Lonchura striata: one gene and its partner. The protein of the gene in region 1 purifies or fractionates together with the protein of each later gene. This does not show direct contact. Links are inferred from orthologs where the notes say so. Each region holds a gene or a part of one and is shown on either strand. Other genes may lie near its edges.

The links.
Region 2: the proteins of STK11 (region 1) and COPS4 purify together in Homo sapiens (affinity purification with mass spectrometry; 4 studies listed by BioGRID and IntAct, with this or other methods). This does not show direct contact. The link is inferred for Lonchura striata from reciprocal best matches to the Homo sapiens genes STK11 and COPS4.

The regions. Positions count from the first base shown.
Region 1 is NC_134630.1:6,447,652-6,463,046, forward strand, and holds the start of STK11 (serine/threonine-protein kinase STK11), read right to left. Parts: upstream 8,344-15,395; 5' UTR 7,426-8,343; coding exon 7,136-7,425; intron 2,114-7,135; coding exon 2,030-2,113; intron 1-2,029. UniProt on the Homo sapiens protein: Tumor suppressor serine/threonine-protein kinase that controls the activity of AMP-activated protein kinase (AMPK) family members, thereby playing a role in various processes such as cell metabolism, cell polarity, apoptosis and DNA damage response.
Region 2 is NC_134606.1:60,964,446-60,980,657, forward strand, and holds the start of COPS4 (COP9 signalosome complex subunit 4), read left to right. Parts: upstream 1-8,300; 5' UTR 8,301-8,386; coding exon 8,387-8,463; intron 8,464-9,553; coding exon 9,554-9,633; intron 9,634-10,398; coding exon 10,399-10,550; intron 10,551-11,573; coding exon 11,574-11,677; intron 11,678-12,444; coding exon 12,445-12,598; intron 12,599-13,711; coding exon 13,712-13,862; intron 13,863-14,186; coding exon 14,187-14,357; intron 14,358-15,640; coding exon 15,641-15,756; intron 15,757-16,137; coding exon 16,138-16,212. UniProt on the Homo sapiens protein: Component of the COP9 signalosome complex (CSN), a complex involved in various cellular and developmental processes.

The DNA of each region.
Region 1 (15,395 bases):
CTTTGGAAGAACTCTGTGAACTACTTCTATCAGTGATTTGGAATACATCAACTCTCCCACTGTCAGGAGAATAACAGTGATGGTAGATAATCCAGACCAGCTCCTGGGGAGCAAAGAGGCTCAAGGACAGCCTGGCTGGGTGTCATTAACAGCCAGGCTGCTCCTCACCCCTCCCTGGTCACTGATCCACTTCAGGTTGATCAATCAGATTAGAGAACAGACTTCCAGGCTGGAGCAGATCTATTACAGGTGCCCCAAGCTCTCAGTTCTCCTCCTCAAGGGCTTCTGCTCCCACACTCAGCTGTACACACTGGTAATGGGATCCCTGGGATGCTGCTCATGGAACTGGGTTCATTTTCTGCCTGGATGAGCTCTCCATTCACCACTAGCTCTGCACTCCCAGCCACAGCAGGCCAGCAAACAGCCCTTAAATACTAAAAGTTGTTGATATTTTTAATCCTGTCACCACAGCTTTCCCTTTCCCACAGAAAATCACTGAAGGTTTTTATTAGCTGAGTTGCTCAAACACTGTCTTAACCTGAAGGAAGCCTACAAGAAAGATGGAGAGGGACTTTTTAGAAGAGCACACAGTGACAGGACATGGGGAAATTGCTTCACACTGACAGAGAGGAGGGGTTAGATGGGAGATTAGGAAAAAGAATCTTCCCTGTGAGGACGGTGAGGCCCTGGCACAGGTTTCCCTGAGAAGCTGTGGCTGCCCCTGGAGCCCTAGAAGTGTCCAAGGCCAGGTTGGATGGGGTTTGGAGCAACCTGGGAGAGTGGAAGATGTCTCTGCCCATGGCAACGGGTGGAATGGGATGAGCTTTAATGTCCTTTTTAACCCAAGCCATTCTGTAACAAACAGCTCAAGCCTGCAGTGCACAGAAGGGAACAGAATCCTTCCTTCCACAGCCCCAGTTTCCAATCCCACTTGCTTGTTCTGGAAATCAGCATTTTCCTTTTTAATCACCAATGGGGAAGTTGACATCTTCCCCTAAACCCCAACTCTGCCCCTGTGCATGACTAAGGGCCCTGCCCCCAGGGCAGCCTCAGGGAAACAATCCCTCTTCTGCTGGATCTCTTCCCAAACTTGATGCTCATGTGGCTGCTCAAGGTCTGCTCTGTCACAGCCCAGGACACGCAGCACAAGCAGCAGCACCAGTCAGGAGCTGGGGAAGGGCCTGAACAAAATCATGGATGAATTCCTGCTGCAAGTTCCAGTGAAAACAAATTCCCCCAATTATTGCCAGAATCAGCACAGGGAGAAATGAACTTTGTGAGAGTGTAGAAGCAGATAAAGATAAAAATAACAAAGTCAACCTGTCCTTGAAAAGAAAAAGCACTGAAAACCAACTCTGGACCAGCACTGCTCAGGAAGTCCAGCAAGGAGCATCCTTGGAGAGATCCCATTTCCCAGTGATGGTTTTGGGTTGTCATCACCTGGTACCAACACACGATGTCTCTCTCGGGCTCCTTTTCCCCATGCTGCCTCCTCCCTTCTACCTAATTAAACAGGATCTGTCTATCAATAATTGACTCACAGTCCCCTCACTCTGTCGAGGCCACAGCACAAGCAGAAGTTGTCACAATACTTTATCCTAATGATCTGGTGGCAGAGTGTTTGATCTAATTAATGCACACAATGAAATTAGTCCTTTTCTGGAGTACTGTAATAAGGAGACAGTAGTTAGAAAACACTGTCAAAAATAAAAGGATCCATTGATAACATATGCTACAAAGGATCAGATCCAGGAACTTCCCCAGTGGTTCCAGGCAAAGTGTTCTCAGTGTTGCAGAGTCACACAAAATCCAGTGAAGTCAGGATAAAATTGCCTTGATCAGTATCTGTGTGAATTTGTGTTTGTGTGGAAAGTCTGCCAGGTAGGCAGGATGGTTATTAACAGTGAAATCAATTTAGCTGCAAAAATTTAAGAAAAAGAAACATCCAAAAGGGCCTTTCCAAAAGCAGAACTACAGCAGAGAACAGTGGGAGTTCAAACCTGATCAACAGCCCTGTGCAAAAGGATATATTTTCTGCTTCTCCTCGTTGTACAACACATCTACCAGCTGGATGACATTTTTGTGCCGTAATCTCCGCAGGAGCTGGATCTCCCTGCAGGAATAGACAAGGAAAAAGTTACATTGAAAAAGCTTATTCCCAACTCCATCTCTTCCAAAATTTCACCCAAACTCAGCTTGATTGAATGGCTCAGAGACCTGAACTGAATCTTTTGTTTGTGGGGAATAAATAAGGTAAAACAGTGAGGAGCCACCTTCCCTTGGCTTGGGGAGGAGTCCCTTGAATGTCACCTACTGTCAGCTGTTCTGATTTTTGTCTCCAGGGATTTTGTACTTGCCCCAAACCACGGTTTAGTCTCTTTTGCATTAAACTCATCCTGCAAAATCCCACTGGATGCCAGCTGTGGAGAAACAGGCAGAGCAGGACAGTCAGGTCAGGGTGGTTCTGTTGGTGCCTGGCAGTGCACGTCCTGCTTTTCACTTTGTTCTGCTGCTGCTCCATCCTGGGCTGTGCTGAGCTTCCAAATTCTCCTTGCCAGCTCACTTCCAGAGAGATTTGGCCAGTGCTTTGAGCAGTGTGGTCACACTTCATCAGCTCAGCCACTGGGAAGCAGCATTACAAGGAATTCTGAGCACAGCTTTGGAAGTGAGAGCCCCTGCCCAAAGCCAGCTCAGAGCCCCTCACGGGCACAATTAGCAGCTCCAGTAATGAGCTGGGGCTCGCACAAAGGCTGAGCAACAACCAGGAGCTGCTCCTTGGAAAGAGCTTCTCTGATGCAGGAGTGCAAGGAGAATCCTTACTGATCTTTTACGGATGCCTGAGCAGTATGAATTATTTCACTACCAAAGTTAAGGCCAGAGACTTCTTTCTCAGCTCTGGATTTAGAAGAAGCCACCAAGAGCCGAGCAGAGACCCAAGATACCACAGCAAAACTCCCAAGTATTGTGTGGACATGGCAGACAAGTCTAATTATAGGAATGACCAAAGGGCTGAAGGGGATTAAATTAGCACAAGGAACAGCAGCCACTGTCAGTGTGGAGCTGAGGAGATCGTGCAGCATGAAAGGGCCGAGGGCTCCAACCAGGGCTGCCAGAGGGGAGCAAACCCACTCAAACACAACTGCTTTAAGGCCCAAGTGTTTGGAACACATTTAAAATCCTGATCCCAACAGCTCATTCCCTGTAATACAGCCCGGAAGCACAAACACTAATTCCTCCCACCTTCAACAGACTAATAAATATCTCATATTTCTGTAATGATTTTTCCCCCCCCAGGAGGCCTTTGCAAACCAGTCCAAAACGCCAGGGCCATGCCCCCACCACTGGGGCAGAGGCCAAGCCACCCTTTTCCCAGAGGAAAGATTACTTCTATTTTTAGCTCCTCTCTTGCTCTGGAATGCCTGAGGAGCAGGGACAGCCAGCCCAGTCACCTCCGATCCCATCTCACTTTGCAAACCCCTGGAGTAGGGGAGCACAGGTCTCACCTTCTCAGAACAGGCCTAAATTTGATTTTTTTTTTTCTTTCAAAACTACCAACAAAACTCCACCACAGCTCACTGCAAGTGTGTGACCAGACAGACTGCCAGAGGACAAGACCTGCTTCCAAGTACAACCCACTGGAAGGAGACGAGGGGGGAAAAGACCTAACTCGAGCTCTGTCAGATCCATTAAGCTCATCCTGGTGGATTAAGACTTATCCCCTGCAAGGTACCAGCTCTGGCAAATAACAGGGGGTGTTGCTGCTCAGAACTGTAAATAGCAAAGCTTTCCCCCTTGTTCCATGTGCCACACCACTTTGGAACATGCCAAAGGCAGCCAGGAAAGCAAACTTCCTGGACATCTCCACTGTGAGATCCAGCTTGTTCCGAGCCATTCCTGCCTCAACAAAACCCAGCAACACAGCCAAAAGATTCATTCCCTGCCTTTGGTTCCACAAGGTTCTTCCCACAACATCCTAAAAGCTTTAGAAGTGCAGCACCTCTCCAGGACTGTGTGAGCCCAAAGGCTGGAAGTGCCAGGAAGATTTCGGTGTCACTTTTTCTCTTTCCTAGTCCCAAGGGTCCATCCACATCCTGCTCCTGCAGGGATGTCTGGCATTCCAAGTTCTGTATCCATCACAATCTGTGCTCTTCCTTGGAGTACAGGTCCCAGCATTTCACCCAAGCAAACATCCAGCTGAGCAGAGGAAACCCTTGAGCCACACGGCTCCACGGGGAACATTTCTGAGGAGGAGGGATCAGCCCATTCCCTGAGCTCACACCTCCAGGGCTTCCAGCAAGTCCTTCCCCTGTTTGGAGGTTCCAGCATGGGACTTGCAGACCCCAGGAACAAACTGTCCCAGCACAGCCCCATAACCCAGGTTGACCCTCCGAGGAATTCCCAAGGAGCACAAATTCCAACCAGAGCAATTGCCGAGGTGGTAAGTACAGCACAGGGCACTTGGGATCCCACAGAGCCCCAAACACTTAATTAACGTGTCAGGCTATTAGCACACGGCATTATTAAACCTCTGTTGCTGCTGCAGCCACAGGCTGCCAGGTTTTCCTGCCTCTTTTTGGCAATCCCACTAAACTCCTTTTTTTTGCAGGGATGAGATTCTGCAGTGTCTGCCTGACTGAGCCACCTTCACCTGCTCTAAAGAGAAATGAAGATTCTCCCAACAGATTTAAGGAAACTGTGTCTTAAAAGTTCAAGCCCTCAACATCCTCTCCATGACTTGGAGAGCCCTTCAGGGCTCATTTTTCTGGGGCAGAAGTGGAGTATTTTGGGGTAGAGAAAAAGCATTTGATTTGATGTAAGTCCCAAACACATTTAAGTTGTAATTTCTGGGTCTCCAGAACACCAGGAGAGAGGGCTGGGGCAGAGATGAGGCTGTGGCCTGGGATATCAACAAGGAGTGACCTAAGGTTGGCATTATCATCCTATTTCCAGCCAAACATCTCCAGCTCAGACCTGTATGAGCCTCCACAGCTCATTACTGCACTCTCATTCCTCCCTGTGTGTTACTGCTTGTGGAATTACCCAGGGGCCACTGTCTAGGAACTGTATTCCACGGAATTCCTTGGATTACATGCTATCAGCACAGCTGAAGCAGCACTGAGGTGCCCTGTGAGGGGGCAGAGGCAGGAGCCCACCACAGTAACTCAATCACCTCTGCCCAACAACCCAAGCCTCATGTGCAGCTTTTCCCTGTGGTAGGAAACGCTGGAAACCACTTCAGTGATCAGATTCCAAAAGCGAAAGCAGAACCCACAAACTGATCCAGCCCACAAACTGATTTCCTGCTGTCCTGTGCACAGGAGCAGTTTTTGGGCATAAACTCCTCAAAGCTGCTCCAACACAGTGATCTGGCCATGTTGACATTAAAATACTGTGTCAGTGTCCTGTCCAGCACTACCTGGAGACTCCACAGCACCCTGTTCCTCCCACATTGACAACTCAGACACACGGGTTTGGTCACAGATCTCATACCCAGAGCAGACATAGGGTGCACTCCCTCTCACAGCAGTGCTGATCAGCTCAGAGTGCCAGGGGGACCAGGGAACCACAAAGTACAACAGTTTGCCTTAAAATTCCCCACTGAAGCAGCAGATAAAGCACACGGATAGGTGGGCAGAAGGAAAAGGATGAGGGAACAGAAATAAGAACTTGAACTAAAGTAAACCCCTGGGTACAAGGCAAGACCTAAAATCTGCCTTGGTGTTTTGGAGCAGGTGGGGCTGAGCCAGGAAACATCCACAGAAAGCCCCTTTTAATAACTCCCTTAATGGCCCATCTGATACTCACAGCCCCATTCTGGGCGTGAATAAAACCTCCAGGAGTTCACGTCAGGACACTGGAGCATTCCCATGGCTCTGAGAGCAGGGAACTCTCCTGATGTGGGCAAGCTCTTTTACCTAATTTACATTGAAAGCTTCCCTAAGGAGGAAACTATCTGCACGTTCCCCAGTGGCAGCTCTGGATGTGCCCGTGGAGGGACCCAGGGACGGGGCTCTCAGCCTCCACCAGAAAAACAAGAAACATTTTATTACACATTAACCAAGTTTGCTTGCTCCTGAACCTGAGCCAGGAAAGGAGAGACAGGGAGGTCCCAGCCTTGGGATGTGACTGTTCCACAGCCAAGGCTGTCAAAAAAGGTTGGAAGGCAAAGTGAGAGAGCACCCTGACAGCAGTCCCGGGACAGGATGTGAAATATCCCACGGCTAAACTGGGAAATCAAACTGAGGGACAGACACAGGACTCTGCAGGTCAGGGCTCACCCGCAGCAGAGCACCAGGAGAGTTTCCTCGACCTCTCGGAGCTCTCCCTCCCAGCCTAGATAAACCCTCATGGGTTGTTTGGGCTGCAGAGGCTCCTGCACAGCTGATAAGCAGCTCCTGGCAGGGCTGGGACGCAGCTGCTGCGAGGTCCAGGGAAGGGAAAGTTCCCACACCAGCCCCACGGATGCAGCCCCACATCTGGCTTCTCCTGGGGTTCACTTCCATGAGGGTTTTGTGCCCTGAGTAACCAGGTGTGGTGGAGGCACAGAGAGCTGACAACCCTTGGCCCCATTTTACAGCCACAGAAATCAGCTGGGGAGAGCCTTGAGTAAACTCCCAAGGATCTTAGAAATGAAGCCAAGGAAAAAACCCAAAACTTCCTGTGCCCATGGGGTGCCCCATATATTGGATCCTGTTCCAGCCACCTTCCACATGGGTGGGAGGAGGAATTGCCACCACAGAGATCTCCAGGGCCTTTGGAACACACCTGGGCAGATACAGGAATAACCCTGTGAGGACACCAAGTGTGTTTGTAAGGTCTCACCTTGCCCAGGTGCAGCTGGCTGGGAAAGGTGAGAGGACACAGAGGAATTGCTTTAAGAATCAATATTTTATCCATTAAATGACACCAAAGTGGTGTATTCCAGACTGTCCCAGACCTTGGGAACCTGTCCCTTCCCTGTGCCCAGCCTTACCCAGAGCATTGGCTGCTGTTCAGAGGGAAGAGATCCCTAAATACCTGTGGATTAGGAAGCATTTCCACAGCAGAGCCATGCTGTCAGCTAAAACAACACAGGAGCTCAGCTGGTAAGCAAGGACCAAGTTCACCCCCTCGGCTCCCAGAACTCTTTACTCACTTTTTCACGTTGGCCTCCCCATTGGGGATCCGGCGCAGCTTCTTCTTCTTCAGGATCTTCACAGCTCTCCTGCACAGGGTCTCTGAGTCCAGCATCTCCTTGACTTTGCCATAGGAGCCCTCTCCCAGCAGGTCTCCCATGAGGTACTTGCCGATGAGCTTGGCCCGTTTGCGCCGGGGCTGGTAAATGACCTCGGTGGAGTCGATGCGGTGGATGAACGTGTCCATCCCCACCGACATCAGCTCGCTCTCAGCAAACATTCCCAGCTGCTGGGGCTCCTGCAGATCCATCCTGGATTAAGTTCCTTAACCTGTTTTTTTCCTTAAGCGCTCAGGGCTTTAATCCTGTTTGTTAAGTTTCCAACACTCCCTTTTTACTCCTTCTCGGGAAAAAAATATCCAGAAGATTGTACAAACATGAATAATAATTAAAAAAAAAACAAACAACCAACCAAAAAAAAGAAGGCAAAAAAAAAAAACAACCAAACCTAAGAGCTGCTTCCAGGTCAGTTGGATGCCAAAAGATCCCGGCCTGGCTCCAGAACGTCTTTGAAAAAGAACATAAATCTGTGACGGGACACACTCAGTTTGGGACTCACGTTGCTTCCGACCCGGTCCCGCTGCCGGGGGCTCTTCCCAGTCAACTGGCCTTGACTGGGCCCAGTTTGATCCTAAAGAGTTAGGTCATCTCCAGGCCGTCAGGCCACCCCGTGGAACCAGAGCAGCTCCCAGTCCCTCTCGTGACTTTCCATCCCTAGGAGCTCATGATTCCCAGCTGGGGTGGGCAGGTGTGCTCCCACGGCCCGGGCGGGGTGCGGGGGGTTCAGCCGTTGGGGAGCTGGAACCAAGTTTCCTCGAAGGAGTTTTCCGAAACAATTCTTGCGTCTTCGCTGTCGCCTACAAAAGTTTGAGGCCTTCGGTGCCTACCGAGAGCTCCCGGGGGCATCCTTCATCCACCGGGATTCCGCCTGGCACATGATGTGTCACCGCCTCTGCTCCGGGTGTCAGCGGTGCAGGACGACACAACCCAGCCCGGCCCCGCCGACCCCGGGGGGGGTCAGGGGGACCCTCTGCCCCAACTCCCGGTTCCTCCCGGGGGCACCGGCCGCCCGGTGACCGGCCGCTCACGGACGGGGCTCAGGGATGCCCACCCGGCCCGGACGGTCCCTCCCGCACTTCCCACAGGTGTCACCGCGGCTGGCAGGGCACGGCGGGGGAGCAGAGAGGGGGGACAGGGGACGGGGCACTTTTCAGCGCCACAAAATCAGCGCCGGGACGGGGCGGACTCCCGGGGGAGGGTCGGTGACCTCCGGGCCCTTCCCAGCCCGGGCCGGGTCCTTCCCCGCAGGCAGCTCCGGCCGCTCCCGCCGGTCCAAACGGTGAACTAGGGGAGGGGGGCTGAGGGCCGAGTCCCCCCTCCCCGTCGCCAGGCGGGGGAGCCGGGCCGGGCCCCGGCGCCGCGCTCCGCCCCGCCGAGCCGCCGCCTCCCGTGTCCCCCACCAAGTTCAGGGGCCGCCCGTCAGCCGCTGCCCCCTGGCGCTGCCGCGGTCCCGTTCCCCGTCCCGGCCGCGCTGCCCCGTTACCGCCCGCCCCGCCGCGCGCGCGCCGCCGCCGCCGCCGCCGCCATCTTGTCCCCGCCCGCCCCCGCCGTTCCGTCCCCCCCCCCCCGCCCCGCTCCGCGCCTCGCGCCGCCCCGGCGCGCGCCCCCATTGGCCACGCTGTCGGCCCCGTCCCCGAGCGCTCGAGCGCTGATTGGTTGCGGCCGCACCACGTCGGGTTCCGGTTGGTTCGTTACAAGCAACCCTCCCACCCACTCCGGCCGGCGGCGGGGCGATATGATAGGTTAACCGGGCTGTCAGTCACTATTAGAGGCGGGGATTCACGTGAACTTCATATGTGATAGGCCATTGGAAATATCCGTCGCGACCGAGGGCGGGGCTTGCGTCCTGCGGCGCGATATGATAGGCTGCGAGCGCTGTCAATCACCGCTCGGAGGCGGGGCGGTGGGACGTGAAGGGTGGAGGGCAAAGGGCAGGCGGGAGTCATGGAGACGGGACCGGGCACGGAGCCGGCCCTGCCCCGGCGGGGACCGGCCTTGCCCCGGCGGGCTCCGGCCTTGCCCCGGCGGGGACCGGCCTTGCCCCGGCGGGGACCGGCTCTGCCCCGGCGGGGACCGGCCTTGCCCCGGCGGGCTCCGGCCTTGCCCCGGCGGGGACCGGCCTTGCCCCGGCGGGCTCCGGCCTTGCCCCGGCGGGCACCGGCTCTGCCCCGGCGGGCACCGGCCCTGCCCCGCCGCCCTCGCGGTCCGCCTGCCGCGCCCGGGTCGCTCCGCTGCCGCTTCGGGTTTGGGGTGGCCCCGCTCCCCCCCGGTGTCCGCTCGGTGCCGGCTGCACCTCGTCCCCTCCTGCCCAGCTGTGCTCAAGTCCAGCCAAGCAGCTGCGAGGGCATCCCCAAAATAACGGCGCCCGGCTCCAGCGCCCCGGGCAGACCCCGGCACGGCCCGGGGGAATGGGCTTCTCCCGGGGCCGCCACCCCTTCACGGCCCCGGCCGCCGCAGAGACGCTTCTCCTGCGGGCACCCTCCGGGGGCTCGGAAGGATCGGGCTGCACAACGCTGCTCCCCCCGCAGCGGCGTTCAGGGGTCTCCTCCCGGTTTCACCGGATACCGGAGTCCCCTGTCCTGCTCGGGGAGTTGCGGTAGGACAGCTCCGGCCTCTGCCGTGCCTGCTCCCGCCGGGAACGTCGGTAACCGGTGCCGGTAGATGGGGTTTGTGCAGTGCCAGCTCAGAGGAACCGCGATGCCCCTGCGGCCGCCTCCTGCCCCGCTGTGAAACCCTTTGGCGAAAGGGATTCAGCTGGGATTGCAATGGGGAGCACCAGCTCCCAGAGCTGACCAGTTAATTTGAGGCAGGGCAGGACAAATCCCTGAATTCTTCCTTTCCATGAGAGCCATTAGCTCTGCATGAATTCCAAAGCACAGGTGGGAGAGCCCTGAGCCCGTTTTGGGGGGGCCTGGGCAGGATCAGGGCCCCCTGGGTCCCCAAAGGGTCAAAGCACTGCGACGCTCCAGTTTGTTCAAGGAATTTGGTTTGTTCAAGGAATTTGAGCCTGTGAAGGTTCGGGAGGAGGTTCCAAGGGCTCCGAAGAGGGAGTGTAGAGGAGGGGGCTGCTCTGCCGAGCTCTCCAATCCCGCTAGCACCGCCTTTCCCTCCTCCCTCAACGGCTTCTGTCACCACAGCCCCTGGCCCTGGGTGATTTATTTACTCCAGGCTTGGCGCCGAGTCCAAAGTTCTGGAACCCATCCCCGAAATTCTGGTAAGTGCTGTGCATCCCCTTCCCGAGGTGTTCCCAGCAGTGGGAGGGCAGAATCGGCTGGAGGAGCTCCTGGCACTCCACACGCTGCTCCCTGCCCATCCCACTGCCTGTTCTGCTCCCTCTCCCACCAGGGTGACAGAACGATCCCCCTCCAAAGGCAAAATCCTGCTCGACTCTGCAGGAATGGGTCACTGGAGCAGGGCAAGCCAAGAACTCACATGGGGTGTCCCCAGGTACCCCCAAACCCCTCAGCCTGTCCCACATTGGGGCTGTGGATGCATCAGGCAAAGCCAGAGGCTCTTGGGTTTTCCCAAATATTTGCACCAGCATCCAGTGAGGACGTCACAAGCTAGGGGAACTGGCTGACACCTGCCAAGCTTGTGGCACATGGGGCACTGCAGGAGCTGTCCCCTCACCCTCCACAGCCCAACAACCCGGCCAAGGGGGCACAGAAGGGTTTATTCAGACATGGAATGGTTTTGTGGGACCCTGGCACCCCAGCACGGTTCCTGCCAGGTCCCATCCATGCCCCCTGCACAGCGCCAGCCCCGCACTGCCAGGACCCTGCACAGGGCAGGGTCTGTCCCCTGGCTGCCTCTTCCCACAGCTCTGGGGGCACAGGGCCAGCTGGCAGCATGGCTCCACAGCCCTCACCCCACGGAAAGTCAGGGGATTTCCAGGCTCTGGGAAGAAACAGGAAGTGGCAGTGGGTGACAGCAGCCCGGCACACCCCAATGTGGAGCTGCTCTGCAGCTGAGCCCATGGGATCAGCGCCCAAAAACGCCCATCTTTGTCCCCATTTCCTGAGACTGGGTGTCTGACAGGGACCAGCTGCCTGGGAAGGGCTGTTCCTGGAGAAGCCAGGCTTTTTTCCAGGGACATTGCTCCTGTAAAGGGGCAAACAGACCAGGACACAACTCAGCCATGTCCCCACATCTTCCACCAGGGCAGGCACAGGACAGCCTCAGTGCTCCCAGCTCAGCATCACTTCTGCTTCATTGCCTGTCTTGGGGTTTCTGTGTGAATTGGGGTCTCGGCTGTGGTGGGAGGAGAAAGAGATCCTGGTAAGGGAAGTCCTGATTTGGTGGTTCTAGGAGGAGGCTGATTTGGTGCTGGATACATCCCTGTGTGTTCTCCCACTGTGCGTATTTATTTGTATTTGTGGAACACCAAATAAAGAGCTGGGGGGGAGGATTTAGAAGAAAGATCCCTGTAAGAAGGATGTTGGAAAATGTGGCAGGATTGCCTTGATTAATCACTATATGCAAATGAATAAAGAATGGGAGAAGCGGACCGGCACAGAACTTCCTGGTTCCCCCTTTGCCTCTGGCACACACCCAGCATTCCCAAGGACCCGGTGTTAATGTGGTTCCCATCTGCCAGTACTTCCTATCCTGGGGATAAATCAGTTCCCTCTGGCTGCTCCTGTGCTGGTGTAAAAACAGACCCATCCAGGAGGCTTCTGTGTGACCCCTCAGGATTTTGTTCCTACCTTGGGACTCCAAAGGTGGCATGAATTCAATGCAAGCAATGGGAAATTAAAAATATTAAAAGGCCCAGTGTGGGGAAAACGGGTGAGGAGCCTGGGATGGTCAGAGCAGGTAGTTCTCCAGCCCTGTGATTCATTTAATTCCTTCTGCCCCGGAGGCTCCCTCTGCCCCGTGGGTTCCTTCTGCCCCGAGCCTTTGCCGGTCTCCGGAGGCACGGGCCTCGCTGTCTGTTCATCACTCAGGGCCACCCTGGCCCGGTTCTCCCGTTCCCGCTGCCCCCGGGCCCGGTTCTCCCGTTCCCTGCTGCCCAGTCCCAATTCTCCCGTTCCCACTCCCCCGCTCCCGGTTCTCCCGTTCCCCACTGCCCCCGGGCCCATTTTCCCGTTCCCTGCTACCCAACTCCCCGTTCTTCCGTTCCCCGCTGCCCACTCCCGATTCTCCTGTTCCTACTCCCCCATTCCCGGTTCTCCCATTCCCGTTCCCCACTGCCCCGGGCCCGGTTCTCCCGTTCCCCACCCCCCTGGGCCCGGTTCTCCCATTCCCGCTGCCCACTCCGGTTCTCTCGTCCCCACTCCCCCGTTCCCGGTTCCCCCATCCCCACTCCCCCGCTCCCGGTTCTCCCGTCCCCACTGCCCGCTCCCGGTTCTCCCGTTCCCCACTGCCCCGGGCCCGGTTCTCCCGTTTCCCCACTCCCCCGTTCCCGGTTCTCCCGTTGCCCACTCCCCCGCTCCCGGTTCCCCCTTCCCCACTCCCCCGTTCCCGGTTCTCCCGTTCCCCGCTGTCCGTTCCCGGTTCCCCCGTTCCCGGTTCCCCCATCCCCACTCCCCCGTTCCCGGTTCTCCCGTTCCCCGCTGTCCGTTCCCGGTTCTCCCATTCCCCACTGCCCCGGGGTTCCCCACTGCCCCGTTCCCGGTTCCCCCGCTCCCGGTTCCCCCGCTCCCGGTACCCCATCCCCGCTCCCCCGCTCCCTGTTCCCCCATCCCCGCTCCCCCGCTCCCGGTACCCCATCCCCACTCCCCCGCTCCCGGTTCTCCTGTTCCCCGCTCCCCCGCTCCCGGTTCCCCCGCTCCCCCGCTCCCGGTACCCCGTCCCCACTCCCCCGCTCCCGGTACCCCATTCCCACTCCCCCGCTCCCGGTACCCCATCCCGGTTCCCCCGCTCCCGGTACCCCATCCCCGCTCCCCCGCTCCCGGTTCCCCCATCCCCACTCCCCCGCTCCCGGTTCTCCTGTTCCCCACTCCCCCGCTCCCGGTTCCCCCATCCCCGCTCCCCCGCTCCCGGTATCGCATCCCCGCTCCCCCGCTCCCGGTTCTCCTGTTCCCCACTCCCCCGCTCCCGGTTCTCCCCGGCTCCCGCTCGGTCGCCGCCTCCCTTTCCCCGGAAGCTCCGCGGCCCTCCCAGCATGGCGGACCCGGAAGCGGCGCCCGGCGGCGGCGGCCGGGCGGGAGCCTGAGCCGCGGAGCGCCCGGGACCCCGGCAGCCCGCCACCCCCGGACACAGGTAAGGGCCGCCCGCTCGCTGCCCCCGGGGCCCGCGCCTTCCCGCCGCCGGCCCGGTCTCTCCGCGGGCGGGGGCCGGGCTGGGGGGGTTCGCTGGGGACGTGGCCCCCGGCCGGGCCCGTCCCGGGTCCGTCGGTCGGTGCCGCGGGGAGTCCGGGGGCTGCGGGGCTCGGGCCGGGCCCGGAGCAGCCTGTGGGGACGGCGGGGCCGGCCCCGCTGCCGCCAGCCGTGTCCCCCACGCGTGTCCGTGCCGCGTGTGGAGCGGGGCCCGGGGCTGTGCCGGCACCGGAGAGAGCCGGAGGTGCTGCGGAGCCTCTGGAGCTGCGATCGCAGCAAAGCCCGGACCCCTCCAGCCCTGTCCGGATGGGGAATTGTCCCGGTACAGCCCGGGTGGCCACAGCCACGGAACCCTCGTGTTTCTGACTCCCTCTTCAGCTGCTTTTCCACGGAGCGCTGTGAAAACTGCACAGCGATCACAGAATCCTGGAGTGGTCTGGGTTGGAAGGACCTCAAAGCTCGTTCAGTTCCACCCCCTGCCATGGTCAGGGACACTTTCCACTATGCCAGGGTGCTCCAAGCCTGGCCTTGGGTTCCAGGGTTCCAACTTCCAGGGATGGGGCAGCCACAGCTTCTGTGAGCAATCAGAGCCTCAGCATCCTCCTCACAGGGAAGGATTTCCTAATATCCGATCCAAACTTCCTCTGTGTCAGTGTGGAGCCATGAATCCATCATGCACCGAGGTTCTGCTGTGGTGCAGCCCGTACTGGCCCTATTCAGAGTCTCTGCATTCTGGAACCAGTGATGTCAGACCATTAACTGGGCTGATACCAGAGGCTTCACCTTATTAAATACTAGTGCCAGGTCTAAAACTCCTCAGAGTAACCATAAATTCCAGTGTAAAGACTGTGGCTCCCCCTTAGCAGGCTTGATTTACAGTGGAAATGAGATGGGCAGGTCCTGCAGGTTCAGCACTGGCAACCCAAAGCTGGGATCCCAACCCCTGGAGGGTTTTCTGGTCCGTGCACTGGCCCTGGGGTGAGTCTGGAGGGCAGGAGGGTGTTGGCTGTGGTCGGCTGCGCCTCGCTGGGGCTGTTCCTGCTGCACATCATCCTCGTGTCATCCAAGAGTTGAGCTCGTCCTGAGCCGTACGGGAATGGCTGAACCAAGAGCAGCTGGTGGTGGGAATGTTCAAGTGGAAAATGGTGTGCTAATACTGATGCTGTGGGGTTGGGAGTGCTGTGTGTCCCATGCAGGTTTTGCAGAGCTCCATAAGCTGCCAGCTGGAGCTTTTGGAAGCCTGAGCTCTGCTATCTCTGCCAAAAGCTCTTTACTTGATGAGGGTCTGTTTTTTGGATGTTTGCACCCTCATTTTCCTAAAATAAGCCTGTACCCGTCTCATTCGAATGTTGCTGGGAGGTTTCTGCACAGGAGCAAACTGCGCTGGGACTTGTCACCATGAGAGTCTGGATCCTTCAGGAAAGCCTTCCAGGCCTAATTGGGAGGTTTATACTCTCCTGAAACACTTTTCTGCTTAAAACTTAAAACTCTGATGTCTTTTTTGGTTACACAATCGAGGTCTGCACAAGTGTGGGTGTGATCAAAGTGAACACATGCCTCTCACGGAGCAGGTGCACGTTGAATCTGCCTTAAGGCTGCCCTAATCCGTAGGGAAGTTGGCTTTGATGTCCTGAAGTGGTTTTTCTACCACGAGTGGCTGTGTGTGAAACAGAACGTTGGGACCTGCTCAGGTCCAGAGGGTTTCTCCCAAGTGTCTCTTGGGAGAGAAACTGGGGAAAAAGTGTAAGGAATCTGGGACCTGCATTTTCTTGGCTTCTGACCTTGCTTAGCCAAGTTTTTTGTGGAAGAGGAGCAGCCCCAGTGCTCCGAGAGCCCTGCTCAGGCTCTGCCTTGTGCTGGGGAGTGCCCAAAGCCCTGGTTTTGGGAATATTCCATGGACC
Region 2 (16,212 bases), on another chromosome or scaffold:
GTAGACCAATAGTAAGGCACTGCGAATCTAAAGTTACACTGAATAAACATGTAGTGAACTTAGCTTGACTGATAAAAAACCAAACATCAAACACACCTGAAATGTGAGGAGTGCTTATCACTAGGCCAAAAAGAAAAAAAAAAGGCAGATTTTTGTCTTCTACATACAGCTTGAAATAAAGGTCGTGCTTTCCAAACTCCAGACACTCCTTGAATGTGAGGCTACAGAAGAATTCGGAGGACACAGCAATATCACACCATGAACACTGAACAACAAGTGTGAAAACTACCATCATAGACTTGATATCAAGTTCCTCACAGACTTTCAGCAGGTGTTATCATATTGCACACCCTTAAGATCAGGCTTGCTGCCAGCAATGTCAGCAAGAGTACATTTTAGAGCTGTATGTATGAACAAGAATTAATCATAACAGAATCCTAACCTACCAGTTTTACTGAGACTTTGCCAACTGGGAAGCACAATGATGATCCAAGTGCATCTCACCTATACTACACTAGCACTGCCCCATTAGGTACAACACATGAAGTTCATTCTAACTGAAACAAAAACCTCCCACAGTACACTGATTGCAGTGAGGTATTTAATTTCAAAAAAATATGCTATAATGGCATAGAAAATTTTGTCCTGAAAGCTTAGTTCACTATGTGGCTTCTGCAATCATGATTCTTTTCAAAGCTAGACCACAGAAATGAAAACTAGAGAAAAACCTTAAGACAAAAAAGTGCAGTGCTTTAAAGGTAGTGCTGTCAAGATCTGAACAGCAGTGAAAACTGCTATGGCCACTACCACTTTTTAAACTTATCTAGGTTGGCTTTCTTAATTTTTTACTCAAGTAGAGCATTAAAACAAAGATAGTCTAAGCAGTTACCTTGCAGTGATTTGCAGGAAAACATGCTTCTAGCTGCAATCTCAGCAGTTCTACCAGCTTTAAACAGGACAACACTCCACAAGTACAGAATATATTCACTTGCAGAAGGGCTGAGCTTGAAGATAAATAGCTCACCTAGAGGCAAACCAGGATTTGATTCAAGTTCCTTCAAAAACCACTATTAACACCTCCTTCCCCCTTCAATCCTAGATACTAAAGCACTTCTGCATTCTTTTTGGGAAAACTTAAACAACTATGATTGTGCAATAGCTGACTGACCTTTGTGGAATGAAATTCCACATTAAGATTTTGAGTTGAGATCAATTCAACAGGACAAATAGGAATTTCTGTGGAATCTTCATCCCTGCTCTAGTACCGTGTGGGTCACTTCAAATGCAAGCTGCTCAGACCTCTGAGGTCTCATATGTCATAACATAACATAACAAGAGCTTCTGAGACACAAACTCTTAAGTTTCATTAGCTGTAGGTAAGAAAGACAACAGCTTTGGATAAGCACTTCAAAAAAACCCCAAAAACTTACAGACAGGACTAGCCAGAAAGAAACATTTCAGTGACTAGGACTACACTGTATCTCTTACAACCTTTGTTTTCAGTACGCTGAAAGTGGTGCAGCGATGTATTGACACTGTATCTTATTCTATCCCTGGAGAAGCTTTATTGAAGGTAAGATGCCAATGCCGCTTAGGAAGAAGAGCTCTGCGTGCACTCTCCATGCTGCTCACTGGGAAGTCTATTCCAGTGCCCAATCCCTCTCTGGGGGAGGAACCCTTTCCTAATACCCAACCTAAACAAGCAGCAGGCCTTGAGAAAAGCCCTAAATCCGTCTTTACAGAATACTCTTCTAAATTTGATTTCCATGGCAGATATGCTCAACCACCCATTGAACAAGTCAACACTGTCCGAGTTGACACAGATCTAGAATGTTCATCTCCTTCTCAGAATTACTAAGTGAAGAAACAATAGTATGCAAAGACTTAACTGTATTTTCTCATGGAAAAAAGCTGTTTGGCTTTTTTTAATGTAGGAAGATCAAGCTCTTTACTACATCTAAAACCAATTTGTATATACAAATGAAGCTTTTGTCAACTTTTTTTTTTGGACAGCTTTTGTCAGTTCATAATTTTGATTAACATATGGCAGGACACTGGAGCTGACCTGTAAGTTGGCTGGTTCTCTGTGTGACTCAGCTGCCCTAGTTCATCACTACACAGTGAACAGCACCACACACCCACAAAGAGCTGGACACACCTGAATCACAGGCTGTCACTCTGTAAATTCTCCCACAAACCAGCTCAGGACACACACCCAAACAGCTCTGTGTCAAACCGTACAGTCCATTGAAACCAACTCAGCAGCAGCAATAAAACTTGAAAATAACTATGGGATGTTGTTCGTAAAATTTTATAGCATCTGCATTTATCAATGCCATTAAGAATTTTAGTTAAGAATCCAGGACATCAAATTTGTCAAAACCTTTTATTAAACCTACTTCTTCTTGCTGACATAACATCAAAACTCACCTTCCTGCTCAACAAAGAATGAGCTCTTATTTTTCCCAGTCATTCCAAATGGCAAAAATTCACAAGTAGTCTCCCTCTTGCCTATTTTCTGCTTCTCTCTTGGGGAAATGCACTTTTTTGTTTGTTTGTTTTTGTCCACAAGAAACAGGAGTGACAAACTTTGCCAATATCATTGACTGCAAAACTGACTACAGCCTTGCTGGTCATTGCAGTGTAGCTAGTTCACACTATTGGCACCAAAACTAATCTCTACAAATGGAAAAACACCCACTGGTCATTTAATGGTCCAGGAATTCTCCCAGCAAAGAGAAAACTTATTTTAGGAGAAGATTAATGCATAACAGCACAAGGTTCATAGTTCCCAGAGATTCTTGACTGCTTGCTAATGCAAAGGATTTAGAACACCTACCTATGCAAAGTAGAATCAAGTCACCGTTTAGAAAGTGAAGGTCACTTGTTTGCCTAAGTTGATTTCAAGAGGAAAACAAATCCTTTTATTGGGTCATTTTATAAGCAAAACAAACTAAAGAACAGGCTAGGTAATCTCCTTATTTGCCGTGTTCTCATATCCCTTTTTGACAAATACAAACAAGCACATCAACTATTTCAGGCAACTGAAATTCACAAAGAACACGAAAAAATAGGAAATGCAGTTCTTAAGAAACTATTGACACCCGACATGCTTTCATTCGTTAGAAAAGCCTCCACAGAAGTATATATATAATAAAAACTCACCCTGCTCTGCTGACATGTTGTCAAACAAAAGAGCACAATTGCATGTAGGTGATCTTGCTGTACTACATTTCTCCTAATTAACTGCCATTCTTCAATTTTGCTATTTTTTCCAATAATGGGTAAAACAGTGTCATTCATTTTAGGCGTCCCCATTTTCTTACTCTCTCTGACACTCCATGCTTTGTCTCTAAAACTGAAAAGTTTGTTTTGTCATAAAGCAAAGAATTACAAAATCACTCAGCACTGTGTTTTTTCAACAGAGAGGCTTTTGTTTAAGCTTACTAAGCTAGATATGCTTTAATAAAACACGTGTCATGAAACTAGGAAAAGATGAATCCATGAGGAAGCTATGATTAACAAGGGTAAGTGGAAAAATTAATCACCTAAGACTGCAAACTCACCATGTTTGCATATGTAATAGCAGAGTGAAAGCATTAACACAGTAACAAAATATGTATGTGGAACACAGACAAAATTTCCATTCTCTTTCCCAATGCCCACATAAGACAAGTCATGGAGGCAGTTTGTCTACATGCTTCCCCAAGGATCGCAGCTCTAGGTTTAGAAAATACAATACCAATGGCATACAACAGGAAGGAAAAAAACTCAACATCATTCCTTATCAGATGCTGAATACATTACCAGTGTAAGTATCCAGTCTTTTTTCCAACAGTTACAAGGAATATTTAATACCAGGTGTTCTTCTACCACAAATTAACCATCTATAGTCACAAAATAGTTCCCAAGGCAACCATAATTCCCTCAACCAACGCACACCATTCCCTTTCCATTACTCTACATTCTGCTAAGTGAGTGCTTGCTGCCTGAGACACCGCACAAACAACTGTGTGCAGCAGATCAGAAGAATGGGCAAGGTACACAAATCAGCAACACCTACATGTTTAAACTGACACTTGTAAAATGATACGTACATGAGAATTTTATATTACACAGTTGAGGTTTTTGGGTTTGTTTCATTTTTTTTTCCATGGGAAGATAGCTTAAGCTCATGTTCCCACTGCCATGTTTATAATGGTGGTGCTAGCTGATTTCTTTTTAAGACTGGATAGAGGAAAAAAAAAAACCAAACTTGTCCACATACAAGTTATGAAGAGATCCTTCTTCCCTTGGCAAGTTCTGAGTCACTTATGCTTCCATTATAATTTTAAAAGGAAAAGAAAAAGCTGAAACTCCTTATATGTCAATGAACTGATAATTATACACTAATAAAAAAAGCACCTGCTACAATTTTATAGGACTTAGTATGAGCAATATCCTAGCAATACCTTTATTGCACAGTTACTTCAAACACCATCATTTGCTACTTTGTGTGTACACGAGCAGCAGTATTACTTTCCCTGTATTTCAACTCCTTCTGTGCTCTATGCCAGCACTGCTGCTAAAGGTCTCCTGTCCGCCTTCAGCATCTGCCTTTTTGTTTCCATCCATTTTCCCTCCTTGTGCTAGCAAACATCTGTATAACTGAGAGCTGCAAGAGCAACCCAGATGAAGGAGCCAGGCAGGAACAAAGCCATCCAAAACCAACTGTAGGTTGTCACAAACCCATTTTCTCCATGCCACTGACAATGGTGTCCAGCCCAGGAAGAAAACAAGTCAGTCCCTAAAAATGGGGATTCTGTAGGTACCTAGAACGCATACAACAGATTAAAGCAGAGCCCAACACCAAGGGCATACCCCTCACATGGGCAGCACGTCCAATAGCAGGATAGCTTCTGAAGGGGAGTGATGCACAAATTAAGGAGCTGCCAACCTACATCCAGATCTGGAACATGGGAATCTCTACTTCACATAGCTTTGCACCCCATGACTAAGCGATTATTTTGTTAGTCTCCCTCTTTCTTGTGCAAGAATATTCCTTTGCAGATTTCTAATGTTGTCAGGTGAGCAAGCCTAGTCACAGGCTGTACTGAAAGCCACATGTTGCTTATCAGCTTTCTGAGCAACTGAGGAAACCAAGCTATTCATCTAAAAGGCCTGGCAAAATACAAACTTTTGAAACAAGAATTCAAGAAACATTTTCCACTTCTCTTTGGGAGCTCCTGAAAATAATTATAATAATAAAAAACCTGAAAAAAAAATCAGAGTCTATCTCCTAGGTACTTGCTATGAAGAGGCCCACCAGACCCTTGCACTGCTGTAGTGCACAGCCTCTGCAGGACATTAGGATGTGCTTCTCACAGCATGTGAGCACTACCTCTATAGCACATATAGAGAACAATCACACCAAGTGACAGATAAGGAACCACAGTTTGTTGCTGAAGCAGAAATCAAAACACAACCCCTCCAATCTACCTTAGCTCTGATGTAAGGGAACAAGCCAGTGTAAGGGAAAGGAACCTAAGGGGCTTTGAGGGTTTTTCCAAATCTAAAATAAAATATATTGTAATTCACAAGATAACAACATCTCTAAGGCTGAATTCTGACAGTACTCTTCATCATCACCTTTCTTATACACCTGTGGTTTGCCGGTACTCCACCTGAAAGCATTTAAAACTTCTCAAGAATCCTGACAGAACTGTTCAGAGCCTTTAGTTACAAGCAATCTGAGCTGGACATCAAAGTATAAGCAAACCAAACTTCAGCAGATAGTTCTTGATATGTAAGCTGAACAAGCAGCCCTGCATAACACACTGCTGTAGCTTATGCCATCACAACAAGCATAATGTACATTTTTATCCCATTAGGAAGGCTGGGCTGCGTTTTCAAACACACTCTCCAAGCCAGCCTGTAAGATTGTTTGGCCTACAGAGAAATACAACCACACATCTCTCTCTAGGTTGGTGCAACTCTGTACAGGGCATGTAACTAACATGTAACTCAGTGATAGAGGTGTAAACTGGATATCCTGACAAATAATAATTTAAAAAGAAAAAAACACAAGTCTAAAGCATTTTATTTCACAAAAAGATTCCACTGACAGAAGAAATATATTCAGCTGATATCCTACTATTCTTCTTGCCTCCAATATGCCAGCAGCTATTGTGAAGAAGATAACCACATACTCAAGGATTGAGTAACCTGATTGTTATTGCCAGTTTCATGTAAACATTGCAAAGAACACTTCAAGTTATTTTTCTATAGTCAGTATTTCCTACAGCAACCTTAATATATTTCAAGAAACTGTTCAGAAGGATGAAACTAAGGAAAGGTAATGAAAATATCTGTCCTTTCCTCACCTGACATCTTAATTCTGAGAGCTTTCCTCCTGATTACAGTATATTTCAGTGGACAGTTTCATGTGGTCTCAATGCCACAGGCTTTCCAGAACCCAAATCCTCAATATCAAGCATAATTAATACATGACATGCTTCAAATTCAAGCCACAAACAACTAAAAACAATCTGAATACTGATATACCTCATAACAAGCAAGATGGTGACAAGAAAACTGGGACTAACCCAAAAGATGGTCTGGCTACATTCACAGAATCGTCAAGTTTGAAAGGCACCTCTGGAAATGATCTTGTCCTACCTCTCTGACAAGACAAGGCCACTTGGCACAGGTGACACAGGACACAGACCACAGAGATTCCACAACCTCCCAGGGCAGCCTGTTCCAATGCTCTGCCACCCTCAACATAAAGTTCTTCCTCATGTTGAGGTGAAACTTCTTGTGTTTTTGCTTATAGCAATTTATCCATATCCTGTTGCTGAGCATCACCAAAACTCTGGCACCATCCTCTTGGCACCCGCTTTTGAGATATTTATATGCATTAATGACATCAGTCTTCTCTAGACTAAACAAGCCCAGCTCCCGCAGTCTCTCTTCATACGAGAGATGCTCCAGATCCCTTATCATCACCGTGGCCTCCACTGGCCCCTCTCCAGGAGTTCCTTGTTTTTCTTGTGCTGAGGAGACCAGAAGCGGACACGTTCCCTTGGAGCTGGGGGCTGTCCCCAGCCGGGCAGCGCACGCCCAGGCCACAGCTGCGCGCCGGCACGGGGTGAGCTGTGGAAGCACCGCACCCGCTCCGCGGGGCACAGCCGGAGCGCGCATCCCGCTGACACAGCCGCGGCGTCCTCACCCCCCGGGGCCGCGCCCCGCTCTTCCCGAACTCCGCATGCCGGCGAGCCGCCGGGCCCCGGAGCCGCCCGACTCGCTGCCCCGGGCCGGGGCACCGGGCCCCGCCAACCCCGGGCCCGGCGCGGCGAGCCCCGGCGGCCGCCGGCCCCGCGCGGTGCGGCCGCTGCCCCCGCGCCCCCCGGGCCGGCTCTCACCTGGCGGGAGCGGCCCGGGCCCGTCAGCGCCGGCGGCCGCCGCCGCATTTCGAAAGATCCGCCATTTTCAGCCCGTCACCGCCGCTCCCGCCCCCGCCGCACCTGCCCCCGCCGCCCCGCCCCGGCGCCGCCCCCGAGCCGCGAACCCCAGCCCCTTCCGCACCGGCGGGTCCCGCGCAGACCCCGCTCCGAGGGGGAACCGCGCCGCTCCGCGGGGGAACCGCGCCGCTCCGCGGGCCGCCGCGCCCCCGCGCGCAGCTGGCCCCGGCGAGCGGCGGGGAGGCGACGCGCCAGGCGGGCACCCCCGCGGCGGAGAGGCGGCCGGGACCGACTGTCCGCGCCATCCCGGGGAGCCCGGCCCTCCGCAGGGAGAGCGCCCGGCGAGGCCGGGCCTCTTCCTTCCCGGCGGGAGGTGGCTGTCAGCCGTGCCCGCGCCCCCTTCCCTGTCCTCCCGCCGCCGCTTTCCCGCCCCTCGCACTCACCGGGCGGGCGGGCGCTCTTCTTCTTCCTTCGCTAGCGGCGCCTGTCGCCGGTGCCGGCGCCCCCCGGTGCTGCTCCCGGCGGCCGCGGCGGCGGCGGCCGCGCCCGCGCCGATCCCGCCGCCGCGTTTGTTCAAAATCACGCGCCCCGCGCCATTCCCCCGCCACATCCCATAATACCGCGCCGCCCTGGCAACCGCCGGCGCAGCGCCCCGCGCTTCCGGGACCGCCCCTCCCCGCCGTCCGCTTCCGGGGCCGCGCGCGGGCGCCACCCGTGGAGGAGGAGGCGGCGGTGGTCCGGCCTCATCCCACTCGCGGTGGAAATCCCGTGGGATCCTTATCTCCGTGGGATATCCCCCCCCCAGCCCAACCAACCGCGCGCGGGGCCGGCCCGCCCGCGCCCCTCCCGCGGCCTGCGCGCGCTCCCCGTCACGTGACACGCGCGCTCCCCAACCCCCCCCGGCGGCGCGCGCGGCTCCATGGTGGGGGGAGGCGGCTCCCAAGATGGCGGCGGGCGCGGTGAGGCAGGACTTGGCGCAGCTGATGAACTCCAGCGGCTCCCACAAGGACCTGGCGGGAAAGTGAGTTGCCGGCCGCCTCCGCTGCCGCCTCCCCGCGTTGGGGCGAGCGGTGCGAGCCGCCCGCGGGGTGTGGGGGTGAGGGTGGGTCGTGTCCAGCGGCTGCGTTTTCTGGAATAAAAGAGGAGACAGAAAGGTTTCACTTCATGGCTGTGTGGTTTTTTTCATTCACGGGCTCCCAGGTGTCCGCTCGGCCTCCCTCAGGGCTCTGCTGCTGCCCCTGGGTGTGCCACAGCGAGAGGCCGGGGAGTTTGTTTTCCTCTGCTGCCGTGTGTGTGTCAGCGACCCTCCTGTTACTGTGAAGAATTATTACCTTTTCATTAGGCGCCTGTTTTGGACAGGGGTTGGGCTTCTCGTGGTGCGGTGTGTCACATAGGTTTTCACTCCCAGGGTGCAGTCAGAAGCGGATCTGTCACCTGGAATTCTTTGATTCCCTGCCCAGTTGCTTGTGTTCTAGGGGGGCTGTGTCACTTGTAGGATTTTCGTGTAAAACCTTGCAAATTTTCCCCTCAAAACGTGGCTTCCACGTGGATGTAGTACTTCATCGGTGTGACACACACTGAGGAAAAGTTTCATTAGCTTGCTGAAACAATAAAACACAACTTAGTGTTTTTTGCAAAATAAACTCTTGAAAACACGTGGGGTACACCTGTGTTGGTGTCACGTGGCTGTAACAATATTTATCACAACACTATTTCTCAGTCACATTGAATATGGCATTTTGAACATTTGATTACCTTGATTAATCTGAATCTATGAGCAATACAGTTTTCATTATTTTTTCAATGTGCTATCCTGGGCATTTTATTATTATTATTATTTTAAACTTACAAAATTGCACGTATGTTCTTAGATAACAAAATTATTGAGCTCTGTCATCTGAGAATCTAGTCCCGGGATTTAAGAAGAGCCAAGTACCAATTCCAGGTGAATGTTCATGACACTTGGGAGCAAACTGGAGAATTGCCATCTCAAGGTATAGGAAATATGAGCAAAAATAGGGCTCTGACATAGAAAGTACACAGAGAGTCAGAAGCTCTTAGTGAAAAAATGTGTGGTTTTTAACACCTTTTTAAAATTTATTTATGGACAGGTACCGTCAAATATTGGAAAAAGCCATTCAGCTGTCGGGTGTGGAGCAGCTTGAAGCTCTGAAAGCTTTTGTAGAAGCAAGTAAGTGCATAAGTGGTGTGAGTGGTTGTACAGTGAGTGAAGGCCAGAGCTATGTGGGGTTGTGTATTTGTGTCTGTTAGCTCTACATGAGACTGTGTAAATGCAATGTACTTTTGTCCTGTTGGAACTCAAACACAACAGGAAGAGGAACCCTCATCACCACATCCAGAAGTGAAGAGGGAATGGGTTTGTAAGCTTTGTGGTTATTACAGCTTTCCAACCTGTCAGCAGTGAAAGGTGAAAACAAAGCAGTCTCTCTTGAGTGCTGAAGTTTATACTGGATGCCAAGTGGTATTTAAACTGACAGCCTCTTTCTTCATCCATTTGTAAAACTGCCAAGAAATTGTTAGGGGTTTTGTTTGTTTGTTTGTTTGTTTGTTTTGTGTTGTACTGGGTGTCTGGCTTGTTGAACATCTCTGTAAATTATATCTGCTATAATTTTTAAAGTTGAGAATAATCTCAATGAGCTTTAGCCCAAACAGGTACTTTGTCCAAGATATTTCAGTAACCGAGGACTATAAATCAGATGAAAAATTAATTTATCTGCCAGGAGTTATAAGTCTGGTGACCTCTAGTGTAAACAGTTTCTGAAAGAAAAGAATGACCCACCTTTATAAAAAAAAAGAAAAAAAATCCCCTTTGTTTGCATAGTTTTTAAAATTTAAATATTCAAATTAAATGTAAAAGCAAATTATCACCTGTAGTGAAGGCACTGCAAAATTTTGCCTCTATTCTGTGTTTTTCTTCTGTGCATCTCTGAACCAGTGGTGAATGAGAATGTCAGTCTGGTGATCTCACGGCAGCTGCTCACAGATTTCTGTACACATCTTCCAAATCTCCCTGACAGCACAGCCAAAGAAATTTACCACTTCACCTTGGAAAAGATACAACCCAGAGTTATTTCATTTGAAGAACAGGTGAGAGATCAATGGTGAGATGGGTTTTGGCTCATGGGTTTGGCTTTAGTTTTTCCCCTCCTTGTCTGCTGACTATTTCAAGTCTTTCAAAAAGCTGCTCAAAACAGCTATTTCTACTTAGAGTCTGGTTTTTCAGTCCTGTACATGGAAAACCTGAGCTAAATGCAGAGAGCACTTAGGACTGTGCAAAGATTACAGGCTGTCACTTTATCATGGTGATGGACACATAATTCCTCTGCTTCCCTAATTGGCTTGTTACAATGAAAAAGTCCTTGAGCTGGGGGAGGTGTCTGGAGAGACAGGCTGCTACTCACTGTATTGCCTTTTACCTGAGCAGTAGAACAGACAGGTGGTGTGAAGAGCATGCACCTTGAAAAATAGCTTTTGTTTCAAAATAAATAAATTTTCTCTGTGTGTTTATTTTGGCCATAATCATTTTATCAGGAAAAAATATTTTCTTGGAATGCAATTCTGCTTAACTACTGAATATGCTGGTTTGCTTTGTCAGTTCAATTCTGTGTTTTGTTGTCCAAATGCATAGTATCATCTGAGAGTTCTTAGAGAAATTGTTTATATAAAAAGGCCTTAGGATCTATTATTGGAGTAGAAAGTCAAGGCAGTTTCTGCCATGATTTTTATTTGCTTCTCTTTGTCTTTTTTTAAGGAGCTTTTACTCTGAGCTAAACAGGCTTGCATGTGATTCACCATGTGATTCATTCATCATGCATAAATTAAATCCAACACATCAGATGATTTCTTTTTTTTTACCCACACTTCTGGTTAAAAACCCAGGTTGTAAGCACTAATACTTTACCTGCTGACAGCTGCCCTCCAAAGCAGAAGTTTCTTCATTAGGATCTAATCACACATCACCTCATTCCTACTTCACATGCATGATTTGAGATGTAACTGCAAGAAATGGCTTGTGATTCTTGGTGTTCCAGTTCGTGAAAGATTTGTTTAATCTTTTTAAAAGCTTTATCAATGATGATTACTTTTGCTGTTGATTTTATTGTCTTTCAGGTGGCTTCAATAAGGCAACATCTTGCATCAATCTATGAGAAAGAAGAAGACTGGAGAAATGCAGCACAAGTGTTGGTGGGGATCCCTTTGGAAACTGGGCAAAAGTATGTTATACCCAGTTCTGTGGGGTTAGCTATACCTGCCCTCTCTGTACTGAACTAAACCTGCAAGTGAGAATTTTGGGGTTTGCTGCACCAGAAGTTACCCACTATTATTTATTCTTCTTGATAAACAAGTCTTTTTGATAGTACTTTTGTGGAAGTGTTTCTAAAGTTACTGAAAGGTCCTTGGAAGGTGGCAGTTTTTCAATGCGTCCACCTTCTCAGTTCAGAATTAAGAGATGGTTTGAAACCAGATTTGGATATTAACCAATGTAGTTGGGGATTCTTTTGTGCGTTTGTGAGGTGAGGTGTGTTTTAGTTTAGTTTGTTTGGGTTTTTTAGGTGTAGAACCCTTGCAGTTAGTTTTCTCTTGTCAGTCAGTCCTTTCCCCTTTCTCATTGTGCACATAGAAGGAATTGCTGTAGGTTTTGCCTGTTTGGACCTATTTGTTGCACTGCAAGGTTGATTCTTAACTCAAGTGGCTCATCACTGGTGGCAAACTTCAGAAAAAACTGATTATGAGAGTGTACATTTGTGTCTTGGTGGGCATCATTATTTCTAGTGGTGTTTGCAGGAGCCAGTTCTGTATTTGCATTCATTTCAAATTTCCTTACTTTGTACAGAAAGCACTAACTTGGCAGTAGGGAAGAAGAAAGCAGGGTAAAGCGAATGTTGCCCAGTGCTTAAGAATCATAACAAATGTTAGAGCAGCTAAGAGCAAAGGTAGTTCTGGAACAACTCTGAGACTTGCTTTTTTCTTTCTTCTACAGGCAGTACAATGTAGATTATAAGCTTGAGACCTACCTGAAAATTGCCAGGCTGTATTTGGAAGATGATGACCCAGTTCAAGCAGAAGCTTACATCAATCGAGCTTCCCTGCTTCAGAATGAATCAACTAATGAACAGCTGCAAATCCATTATAAGGTTGTCTAACCTGCTTTATTACTTTCTCTTTCTAAAGGGAAACAATTCTACCTTGAGGTGTTTAATGCACTGCCACTAGAACTTTCATCATGAGAAAAGAGACAAAGGGAAAAGCTATATGGTTTTGGGAGCTTGAGAGACACATCTTAACAGTTATTAAACAGCTCATTCCTTACCATTTGGAAATAACTCTGTAATGGTTCCATAAATGCCAGCTTTACTGATAGAAAATAAAAACTAGGCTAAAAAAATCTGAAATATTGTTGAAAATATTGCCTCCACCTTTGTCTATAAATATAAGTGGGGGGAAAAAGCTACAAAAATATTAGAGACAGTAGTACCTCCCACCCCCCACTAATTAAGTGTCCCATACATAAAAGTAGCTTAAAGTCTTAAGTAGTAAATTGACTGCTGACATTTCTGCTTTTTTGTGGGTTTACTGTGTACATAGTTCATACACAAATTTCTCAAACCATTTTAGTAACTGATGAGCAGTAATTACAACAGTGTAGCAGAATTGGTCAAGATGTGGTAATGTTTAAAATTCTGTGACACAAAGCAGATGTGCCATGAGCAGTAATTCAGCATTTGGTGGTTTTTGTTTGTTGACTTCCCTTTCCTTTTTCCTTCATCCTATATAAGGTTTTGAAGTGTGCACTCGGTTGAAAGTGTAAATATTTTCTGTGAATCTTAGAAAAGCACAAAGAAAGGAAGAGCTATCAGGTGATGTTCCTGTGCTGAAAGGGAAAAGCAAATACTTGAAACATAAATGGCTAAGGGGTAGCTGTCTGTGCCAGTAGTGAAGGGGAAACTCACACAAGTGCAGTATCAGCTGTACAATATTTCAATTGCTTAGGCTCAATACTTGGCTTTTCAACATTTGCAATGTTTAACATGTGAACAGTGGTGGGAAATGTCCTTTCAATTGATTTCCCTGATACTTTAGCAAGGACTTGTCAAGTCAAGCTAATTCTTTGAAGGCACACATTTCCCTAGGACGCAGAAGAGCAATATTTATGGGAGCAATCACTTGACAGTGTGCACATTTTACACACCTGTGTTATGCAGCCACCTCTGCTGCTTTTCTTTTTCTGAGCTGTCCTTCCTTTCTAGGTTTGCTATGCTCGAGTACTTGACTACAGAAGGAAGTTCATTGAGGCTGCCCAAAGGTACAACGAGCTGTCCTACAAGAGCATAGTCCATGAGACTGAGCGGCTGGAGGCACTGAAACACGCGCTGCATTGTACTATTTTGGCATCAGCAGGTAAAATACACCTCACATTTTTGTGTAAAAGGTATTTCCCATGAAACAAGTCAGCTTGTGTATTATTTGTATGACTAAAATTTGGTGAGGAATCCAAAGCTGTGAACACGATGTCAGAATTACGTGTTGGCAAACTGTTAGCTCAGAGTTGGATTAGTTCAGTGTCTTTGCCTTTGAACTGAACACAGCCAAATTCCTTCTTCAATAGAGCTTTGTGGGCTTTTATTTGCATGCATTGGGGAAAAAAGGTAACTTCCTCCTGTTTACCTCTAAGTACTTAGTGTTTTGGTGGTCAGTTATGAGAATTCCTCTTGACTTTCCTAGGACAACAGCGCTCCCGCATGCTTGCTACTCTCTTCAAGGATGAGAGATGCCAGCAGCTTGCAGCCTATGGGATCTTGGAGAAAATGTATCTCGACAGAATTATCCGTGGAAATCAACTGCAAGAGTTTGCAGCTATGCTAATGCCTCATCAGAAAGCAACTACAGCTGATGGTACACACTTCTCTAAAACCTTGTAAGGCTAGATGTTCATCCATGGGAGTTAGACTTCCCAAATCAGTCAAGAAGTGTCATGGAAAAGAATTTATTATTGCTTATATCATCATTTAAAAAATATTTTTCAGCATGTATAATTATATAGTAAAGCTTCTTAGATGTAGTTCATCTTTCTGATTTGCCATTAAGGTTTTGAAATACTCTTCTGGAAGATAACTTGTCACATTTTCTTTCCCTGTCCATGTGCAGTCCTCTTCACTGACAACTTCCCAGTGTTTCTGATGGAGTATCTGTCCTCGCAAGCTTCTCAGGCACTGTTAAGAGTAGGGTGCCTAGAAACCTGTGACATGCATGCAGGCCATAAATGGTCTGCACTGATGATACATTTATTGGAACTGGTTCGTGACTTCACAGGAAGGTGACGTGGTGAGGGGATGGTTTGGCCCTTGCATACGTCTCCACTGACATGCCACTAAATCTTGAACATCTGAACAGTCAGAAAAAGTGTCAAGTAATGGCTTAGCTTGTATCCTAAACACTCTGGTCTCAGTTTTCTAGCTTGGAAGAATGTGAAAGTGGAAAAATACATAAGCATTAAATACCTCTGAATCAGGAAAACCTTCCTAGTTAAAAAATAGTTATTGATTAGGGAAAATAAGTAACCATGTACTTGCAGAAGTGAAAACTGTGTTAAAGGTACTTGCTAGCAATATGCTGCATTCCTTCCCTTGGTGACTTTGTTTATTTTATAACCTGTACTGTTTGTCCTTAAACAATGCAGGTTAGCTGGTGTTTAATAATACGCTTATCTTCAGCTGGAGGTTAAGGAGGAAATGAGTTATACTGTTGAAAACTGTTCAGTCAAAGAGAGAGACATCAGATAAGGGTTTATCACAAGCAGAGTAAGAGACAGGTTAATTGTACCCCCAAGAGCCATAATGAATAGTAAGAAAACCCTCAAGGGTCTTTCCACTTGTCAAGCTAAGATCACAGGAGGTCAAACCCCCTCAATTCAGACAGTCTTGTAGCTTCCAATTCTTCACTTGTTTAGAAATTAAAGGTTTATCTGTTTTAAAATCAGCCATGTGCCATCCATTTGTTTCTGTCTGCTGTCTCTGCACAGCTTAACAGTGATCCAAGGCAGATGCATCTGGACCTTCTGCACATGTAACACTTCAGAAAAAGAAAGAGAAGCATTTTTTGATTTGCTGTACTATATAAACCAATATTTCAATCTTACAGTAATGTTTTGGGGTTTTTTTCCTCATCTAACCCTAAAGGTTCCAGTATTCTGGACAGAGCTGTTATTGAACACAACTTACTATCTGCAAGCAAACTTTACAACAACATTACCTTTGAAGAGCTTGGAGCATTACTAGAGATCCCTGCGGCCAAGGTATCTCTTTCCTGTCTCTTTCTTTTTTTTTTTTTTTTTTTTTTTTAAACAAGGAGCATGAATGGCATGAGAAAACGTCTCTGGTAAATATTAGGAAAATTAGTTAAATATTAGGGAATAATTCAAGATTCCATGTTATGAGGAATGTTAAGTATCTAGCACATCTTATGAGAATGAGAGTGGCACAATGTGGTATGAACAGCAGTAGAGTTAGATGCCACTGATTGTCTAATCATTTAATGAGTGCTGTCTGTAGGTTCTTTTCCCCCTCCCCCCCCATATGTGAATCTGGTTAAAAACCCTTAAGACTGTTAAGTCTGAATAATTTCTAATTTCTCTGAGAATGAGCTAAGTTTCTGACATCTGTCCTTGTTATTCTAGGCAGAGAAGATCGCTTCTCAGATGATAACTGAGGGTCGCATGAATGGCTTTATTGATCAGATTGATGGAATTGTT